Linked DNA regions of Caenorhabditis elegans. The protein of the gene in region 1 purifies or fractionates together with the protein of each later gene. This does not show direct contact. Each region holds a gene or a part of one and is shown on either strand. Other genes may lie near its edges.

Region 1 (5,101 bases):
GACAGATCCACAAGCAAATCGGGAGGGGCCATCCAATCTCGGAGTACCTGTCACCCGGAACGGTTAAAAGCTAGCCTCCGGCCCAAAACAAGGCGAATCGACGCCAGAATTGCGACTTTCAACTGCAGGTCTGTCTCCTCCAACGACAGGCTTGCAGAACTGCTCGAAGAGACGAAGAGAATCAAGTTCGATATTATCGGACTCTCTGAAACAAAAAGAGCAACGGAAAAGCATGCAATTGGCGCCGACGGGGTCGAGATCTTTCTAGGATCTCGAAACCCAAATTCTGTTTCAGGAGGGGTCGGCTTCATCGTCACAAGCACCTCCTCCCCCGAATCACTGAAGTAGTTTTCTCCAAAGTAACATCCATTTCAACATTAATTTGGCGAAACTAGATCAAGTGAAAAGGAGAAAACCCCCGAAAAGAGTTTTGGATAAAGCTACAGCTCTGGCTGTCAGCGCAACAATTACTGCCCCTGCTCATGGAGATATTGATGAGGACTACAAGATCCTTGTCGACTCTCTCAAAACAGCCCAGGATCAATCAGTAATTCAACCATCCATCCACTCCGCCAACCGACTCTCGGAGGAAACTCGACAAATGCTCTTCAAAAGACGTCTTATGGACAGATCAGACCCAAATTTTAAGTAACTATCTATAAAATGTAGGGAAGCAGTCGAGAGAGACCATGAGAACTTTGCCAGTGCCCGCCTGCTAAAAAAAACTGAGTGACAACTGGGTGACAACTGAGTGATTTTTTTGAATCCTTATACTAGAAGGCCGAAGTAGCTAATAATTGAATGCTTTTATACACTCACGGTTCACTATAAGTCACGCATATAAAACTTACAAAAAATCGTAAATTGACAAAATAAGTCAATAGTAAATTATTTGCCGACCTAATATTACATTTCAAAATGTTGGCAAGTAACATCTCGGGTATTACACTCTCGTGGGAATCTCCAAAATGTTTCCATAGTTACTCACTCCATTACACTTTCAAAAAATCATAAACTGAACCAACTCTTCTCTCTCCACTTGCTCACACGCATGAATGTTTAGTTTTCAGAAGAAAGGTCAGGTCACTTGCCATCCAGATACGGTGGATTTTTAACAGCTCGCGCGTCCGTATGCTAGTCTTACATCTATCGATTCGTATATGCATATTTTTGTGTTAATTAGTTTTGTCAGGTTTTTCAAAACTGACTCTTGTGACAATTAGTTTCTGTTTCCATAGTTACTCACTCGTTAAACTTTCCAGAAATCATAACCCATAAAATATGACAAGTTATGTTAATTTTCTCTGTGGGTCTCGTCCTGATATCTAGCAGATTTCATCATTTGAAGCAATTAAAAATCTAAAATTTCTGATTTGATTAACACTTATTTTTCTTGAGCCAGAACTCAAAAACGGGATTTTATTTAAAAATTTGACTTTTTGCAATCTTTTAAAAATGGACATTTTCAAGAAACTTTCCAAGAAATTTTCAATTTTTGGCCTCTGATTTGAAAGTATGTAGAGACTTTTTTCTTCTGCTCAATTTTTTTTCTAGTTACCATAACCCTATTTTGAAATCAGTTATCTAAAACACTAGATGCACCCATGTGTTGTCCTCTTCTCTTTCCTCTTCATGTGTCTTTCCATCTCTACGTCTCAATCTCTAACACACTCTCTCCATCTCCCCCTCTCGAGATGTTGCGAACTACGCTAGTTGCCTTATAATTTTGAATGTGAGATTTTCCCGCGCTCATTTTGATTAATTCTTTTTTTATTTGCTTTCAAGATTAAATTCAATTTCAGAGAAAAAAAACAAGAGCCACTGGTAAATGAGAAGTTTTGGTTTCCGGGGATCCCGATTCCCAAATCACATTTAATCACTTCCTCTGCATATTTATTCAAAAAGTGAGTTTTTATGTTTTAAAATATTGTGAATAATTTTTATCAAAATTAAAATATAATACTTGAAGTGAAAAAAAACGGAAAAATATTATTTAAATGTGAAATAAAAATCTTGAAAGTAAAAATTCGAAAAGTTCTGAAATTTTCAAATTTTATCGCTCATTTCTAGTCATATCAAAACGTTATCAACTACAAAAAATTAGACAATAATATTATACAATTTTTTTAGTTGAAACTTTTTGATATCTTGTGAAACAAGCGAGACATAAGCTGTCAAAGTTTAAAAATCTTAAAATTTAATTTTCAGAGCATTAGAAATGTCTGACGAACCACCAATAGTGCTCCCAACTGAAGAAGATGGCCCATTCTCCAACTGTGTATCGATTGCATTTGTCAATGACAAGAGCATACCCGTGGAGCTACGAATTCGAAAAGCTATTCGTGGAAAAGTCACGTTCACTCAGGAACTTGTAGTCGCTGCACGTAGATTGTACCTGGATGGAGAGTTAGAAAGACCTGATCTCAGTGAGTTTATTTTTGTTGAAAAAAACTGATAGAAACAAAATAGAAATAGCATTCGATTCTACAAAAGCTGAATGAAAATATACATAAAATATTAAATTATTTTACACCTAATTTTTTTTTGAAAAAGTCGTCAACTGAAGTCATTTTTTAACACAAATAATATTCAAAAATATTCATTAAAACCGCAACAAGAAAACGCACTCTAGGAAAGCGACAGAAAAGGCAATTAAAATCCCTCGCCCAGATGGAAGCTGTTAAATAATTATCTCAAAATATGCAAATTTTTTGGTAAACATTTACATATTTTTCATTTTTAAAATTTCAAATAAAGTGTTTTTAATGGTTTAAAGTTGAAATTCCAATTTTTTAAATGTAAAATGTCAACTAAAAAAGACATTAAAATCCAAAAAATACATAAAAATATATAGAAAATGTGTTAATATTATGACAACTAATTGGAATCGTGCGAGGGCGAGTAAAGGGGCGATTACGATGCAACATGCATCATACATTCTAAATTTAATTTATTTCAGACTACCACGTTGCCGCCGACTTCTATGATCCATTTATGATCCCGGTACCAGATCACCGTAATTGGGAGTATAACCCTTTATATCCTCGGGAGTGGCGTAAGCTCAATATTTCTTTGGTTCTCCCTAGAAAAATAAATTTTCAGCTAGACTAATTGATAGAGATCTCGTCCAAAAGATCAAGATGTCCAATACGTACAAAAAGAACCAGGCGAGAAGGAAAAGACGACGACTATTAAGAATCTTCCATAGGAAACGAGGTGGAGAGTTTTTGAACTATTTATGGCATTCGAAGGAGAATGTGAGTTAACTTTTTTTTTAACTAAAAAATTTGAAAAACCTCTTAATCTTCCAGGACGTGCACTACAAACGGTATATGGCCGCCTATCAATTTCCTCTTCCATTCGAGAAATGTATCAGGGATGTAGTGAGAGAAGAGCTTAAAGATCCCGAAACATCATTTTCTAAACCACCATCAGTGGTACATCATTCGAAGATTCGACCAGCCACGCCTGATTTGTTAAAGTTGGCGAAATATCTTGGAAAGGATCGGTTTTGCTTTATTGTGACACCATTTAAATTTCGATCTCAATTCCGTTTACGTTACTACAAGAAATCTCCATTCAAACGTTCAAATATTCTTGAGAAATGGTTAAAGTTCAAAAAAGGTAAGGTTCTGATTTTTGCTTATTAATTAACTTTATCAAATTTTGTAAAATATCACACTTATAGTTAGCATGTTTTTCTTTCAATAATTTCAAATACTGTGAAAAACAAATTTCAATGCTGTAAAAATATGTTGCTCCCCAAAGTAAACTTGAGATCTAACTTCATACATGTTTTAGTGAGAGATCAAGGTGTGTTCAACATTCGAGATGCCGCTCGTGAAGTGAAGAAGCTACTTCAAAGGAAAAACGTCTACCATATGACAGACCCGCAATGTGAGCAGGAGTTCTGGGATGTATACAGACTTCAAATGCAATGGCGTAAGTTTTTGAGCACTTTTTAAAATTACGGCCTGTTTAGAGATTAAAAAATTTTGTGAATATATTATTCAATTTCAAATTTTTTCTTTTTCCCATTCTATTTCGCGGTTTCGGTATCAAACTTATTATAAGAGTGTTTAGGAATAGGCAACGATTTTAGAAACTTTCTGGAACAATTTAATTTTCTGAAAAATTTAAAATTAAAACAATTTCTGGAAAAACTACCCGGATTTGTTTGTCAAAGTTTTGGTAAATTGACAAAACTTCCCATTGACACAGCACCATGTTCAAAACTTTTAATAAAAAGTTATAATATTTTAAGTGGAAGAAGACAACATCGAGGAAAACATCACGATGCTTCGAGAAAATTTATCAAAAGTGACAGACGAGGAATTCAATAGATCCGTGTATATTATGAGACCAGAGAATCGAGCATCTATCCACGACGACGTCACATTCACCACCGATGCCGAAATCAATCTGAAGCCAATTGTTCTGGAACTTTTTCGAAATAATATGCCACTCGAAGATATCAGACAGGTTAAGGAATGTATTGACGACATGATTAACTTGACTGTCTGCCAAGAACTTATACCTCAAGTTGCTACAATTGAGACTGTTCGTGATTATTCTGGAGTTGAACAACATCGTTTAAAGTATATTCGCCCAGAAAATGAGCTGGAGATAATGTTCCAATTAGCTACCGTTCTTGTAAAAAACGAGAATACTCATGATCAAGAAATCACTTCTCCAATGTTTGCACTGCTTCGAACAGAACAATATTTGTGGTCAATTCCACTTCGACCATTTCTTCGAATGTACACTGACTGGAGGAAAACTAAACTTAATTTCAAAAAGTTTAGAAAATTCTCCCCGGAATTAGTCTCCAAAGCACCAATTGACTTATTCAAAGTGTTCCTCACAACTAATATGGATAAGAAAGGAGTTGCCACAAAAGACACGGACTGCTTTGATTACAGGACAGCATCTGAAATAAAGAAGCTTTACCATGAAGAGTTTATCAGAGTCCGACCAATTATAGAACATCAGCGTTTTCACAGATGTTACACCTCTGTAATTACCGAAGAGCCATTACCAAATCCATTCTATTGGGTACATAGGGGCCAATGGGAAAAAGTTTATGAATGTAATTGGAAGC
Region 2 (3,191 bases), about 10 Mb from region 1:
AGTGAAATAAAATGAGATAAACCAAAAATTCAAACCGCTTAAAAAATTTTCAATAAATGTTTTGAAATTTTTTAAAAGTATCTTTAAAGTATAAAGTATATCAAATACATTGATCGGTTAGTTCATCTTTAATCACTAAAGTCAAAATGAAAACCGAAAAAAAAAGTTTTTCACCAATTTCACGAACAGCAAAAAAGTAACCGAAATGATGATAAAAGTGTGGAATGAGACGTTGCTTTAAAGAGAATTGAAACAACGATTTACAACATGAACACAAAAAAATACACAAAAAATTTGTAGTTTGTGCCCTGTCACAATGTATCAGTTGTGTTGTCAGGCAAATCGAGTTCAATTTGTATTAAGTGAATATTACGAATTTTTATTCTTTAAAAATGATAAGAAGAATGCACTAATAAAGTGAAATATATCAATGAACGGAACAGAGGAATGTGTCAATATTTGACAGCAAAGTTCAAAAGGCAAAATTTGGAGGAGTTGAAAAGGCTTCCCCAACCAACACACTTCTTGATTTAAAACATTTTGAAAAAAAATCATTATATAAGAATTTTTGATTAAAATCAAGAAAAAATGTAAAATTGCACAACATTAGATGATACCTCTACCCCAAACCACACCAAGAAACTGTGTTAGTATGTTGGTGTGGAGATCGAAATTGAAAGAGACTGCAAGAGACGATGGGAAACAGAGAGAGTGCCAGAGATATTGACAGTTGGGGCCAAGTAATGCACGTGCAGAAGAGGAATGAGAATGCAATGCACTAAAGAACATGGACGGTTGTTGTTGTTGTTTTGATAATGGTTTATGGTCAATGGAACATGGCATTGCCATAAGGAAAGGATCATCGAGTATTTAGTCTTTTAGAAAAACATTCAACCTTTCTTAAAATTTATATGAGTACTCTTAAAAAGAAAGCATTTCAGCTCACTTTTAGACTTCAAAATGAAACCAATGCCATTTGAAAGAGGATCATTGAAAAAGGTCCCTACAAAAAATTTAGCGGCGGAGTGAAAAATACACGAAAAGCAAGTTCAGATCGACTTTTTTCTAGTTCAAAGAGTCGCTAATTTTTTTGTAGGGCGTCTGTGGATTTTTCCCTTAACAAAAATGGCAAAAAAACAGTGTCCATATACCAAGTATAACTGTTAAAAAATTAAACTTTTTCTAAATTTTTCAAAATGATTTTTTAAATTTCGCAACAAAAAAATTTAGAACTGTCTAAATTTTTTTTTGATTTTCAGGGCAGATTTACGACCTACCCTCGACTTTTTTGCGTTTTCCAGATATATCATTTGGTATTGATTTGCAACATCATTTGTCAAATTTTCAGGCTTTTTTCCGCAAAAAGACTTTCAATCTGAAGATAAAATATCGAATTTTAAAGCAATATAAGTGTTTCACCAAGTTTCTTACGGGTTATCAAGCTTTCTCTACAAAATACGGAAAATGGCTGAAAATGTTATTTCTTTTTTTTTAATTGAAGAAAAATTGATAGTGACACCAGTTGAAATGTGATTTAAAGTTTTTATTTTTCTCTCTAAATTTTCTCTGTCAAGCTCAAAATTAGAATTTGAGCGTTTCTTCTTTATTTAATTTCATGTCAAACCACCATTTCAACATGAATCATAATCGAAGAAAAGAAACAAACGACTTTTTGTTCCACTTTGCACGTATTCTGAAATAAAAGTATAAAAACTGAAAATTCGTTCATTGTGGCCTGTGTTACCATGCTCAAGGAAATAATTTTGATTTTCTATTCTTTTATGGTTGTCTTCGGGCATCCACCAAAATGTTACCTACCGCAAGCAAAAGGAACATCTTCAAATTGTTCTTATGAGGCTTCTATTAGAGTGAGTAAATCAGTTTAAATTTTGCCAAAAATTTTCTTTTCCAAAACTATATTTGTAACCTTGCTTTAGCTCTCCAAAATCTGTTTGAATTTTCAGTACCATTTTGACCCTAAAACGAATATATGTCATGCATTCAAATACGAAGGATGTGGTGGAAACGTGAACAATTATGAGACTCCAGGAGATTGCGGTCAGAACTGTAATGTAGACGAAAGTAAATCGATATTCCATTATTTATTTTTTAATTGTATTATTTTTAGAAACATATATACAGTGTGCTCTCGGAGCTCCACCTATATTCGATAGCCGTGGTAATAACAACTGCCCGTTAACAAGTGAGGAGACTGGGGAAGGATGTGAAAGTGACGAGGCTGTGTGTAAATATTTTTCAACGATGGCTCTATGTTGCAACAAAACTGTGGAAGTTGGATTGAAAGAGGATCAATCTACAACATGTCCTTCTGGAAAATCGCGGTGGCAGATTGGTGGAATAACGGTACTTGCCAAGACTTGTGATGACGTCATTTGTCCAAATGGGTACACTTGCCAAAATGGGATGTTCTTTTCTTACTGTTGTGAAAATTGAAAATTGTTAGATGAAAAATTAAGAATTGAGAAAAAATAAAGCTGTAGAACAAACAGAACAAGCAAGATGTTGCAGTGGTATCCCAACCCCTTTTTGGCAAATTTTAAAAACGGAAGCATGAGTTACTATGTCTAAAACTATTCTAGTTATATGTACTTTGGAACTGATCGTGGACGTAGGGCTTTCAGGCGCCAAAACGCCTGACGTGCCTGCCTTCCGGCGACCGCCGCCTGTCTCACGACACGACTGGTGTATAGTGCGGTGCGGAGCCCAAACATTGCCAGGCACTGTGAAACCTCCATCGCATAATGCTCTGCCGCCAAATGCAAAATTGAAACAAGGTGGCCATCAGGTTTCAGGCAGGAAACCGCACCTCCTACGGAAGCCATACATGAAAATAAATGTATTATGATAGTTTTATTATATGAAATAAAAATTATTTAGCACAACAATACGAGTAGAAGTTTCCCTTCTGACAATCAAACCCTGTTGGGCAGAATTTGTGATCACATGATTTTCCAATGAACGCCCTGTCCTTTCCTCCTCTGAATGTTGCATACTTCTTCTTTCCATTTGGACAAACGAGCTCTCTGTCTTGATCCACTTTCTCTGAAATAATTTTATTCATTACTAATAAAACTTAATTTTAGTACTTCTAGACTCCAGTGAGCAGCAAACTCCATTGTTATTTGGTCCGTGGTGGCAGTAGTTTTTATTCGGTTCAGCACATTTTTCAT

The links.
Region 2: the proteins of sdc-3 (region 1) and K11D12.13 fractionate together in Caenorhabditis elegans (co-fractionation; one large-scale study listed by BioGRID). This does not show direct contact.

What each region holds. Positions count from the first base shown.
Region 1 is NC_003283.11:15,044,909-15,050,009, reverse strand, and holds the start of sdc-3 (Zinc finger protein sdc-3), read left to right. Parts: upstream 1-1,802; 5' UTR 1,803-1,904; intron 1,905-2,208; 5' UTR 2,209-2,218; coding exon 2,219-2,426; intron 2,427-2,959; coding exon 2,960-3,055; intron 3,056-3,102; coding exon 3,103-3,257; intron 3,258-3,311; coding exon 3,312-3,624; intron 3,625-3,801; coding exon 3,802-3,942; intron 3,943-4,264; coding exon 4,265-5,101. UniProt on the Caenorhabditis elegans protein: Component of the SDC complex that functions in sex determination and in X chromosome dosage compensation specifically in hermaphrodite (XX) animals.
Region 2 is NC_003283.11:5,031,664-5,034,854, forward strand, and holds K11D12.13 (BPTI/Kunitz inhibitor domain-containing protein), read left to right. Parts: upstream 1-1,735; 5' UTR 1,736-1,745; coding exon 1,746-1,868; intron 1,869-1,964; coding exon 1,965-2,082; intron 2,083-2,128; coding exon 2,129-2,454; 3' UTR 2,455-2,508; downstream 2,509-3,191. Other genes in the region: K11D12.6 (BPTI/Kunitz inhibitor domain-containing protein), read right to left, coding at 2,891-3,063, 3,108-3,191.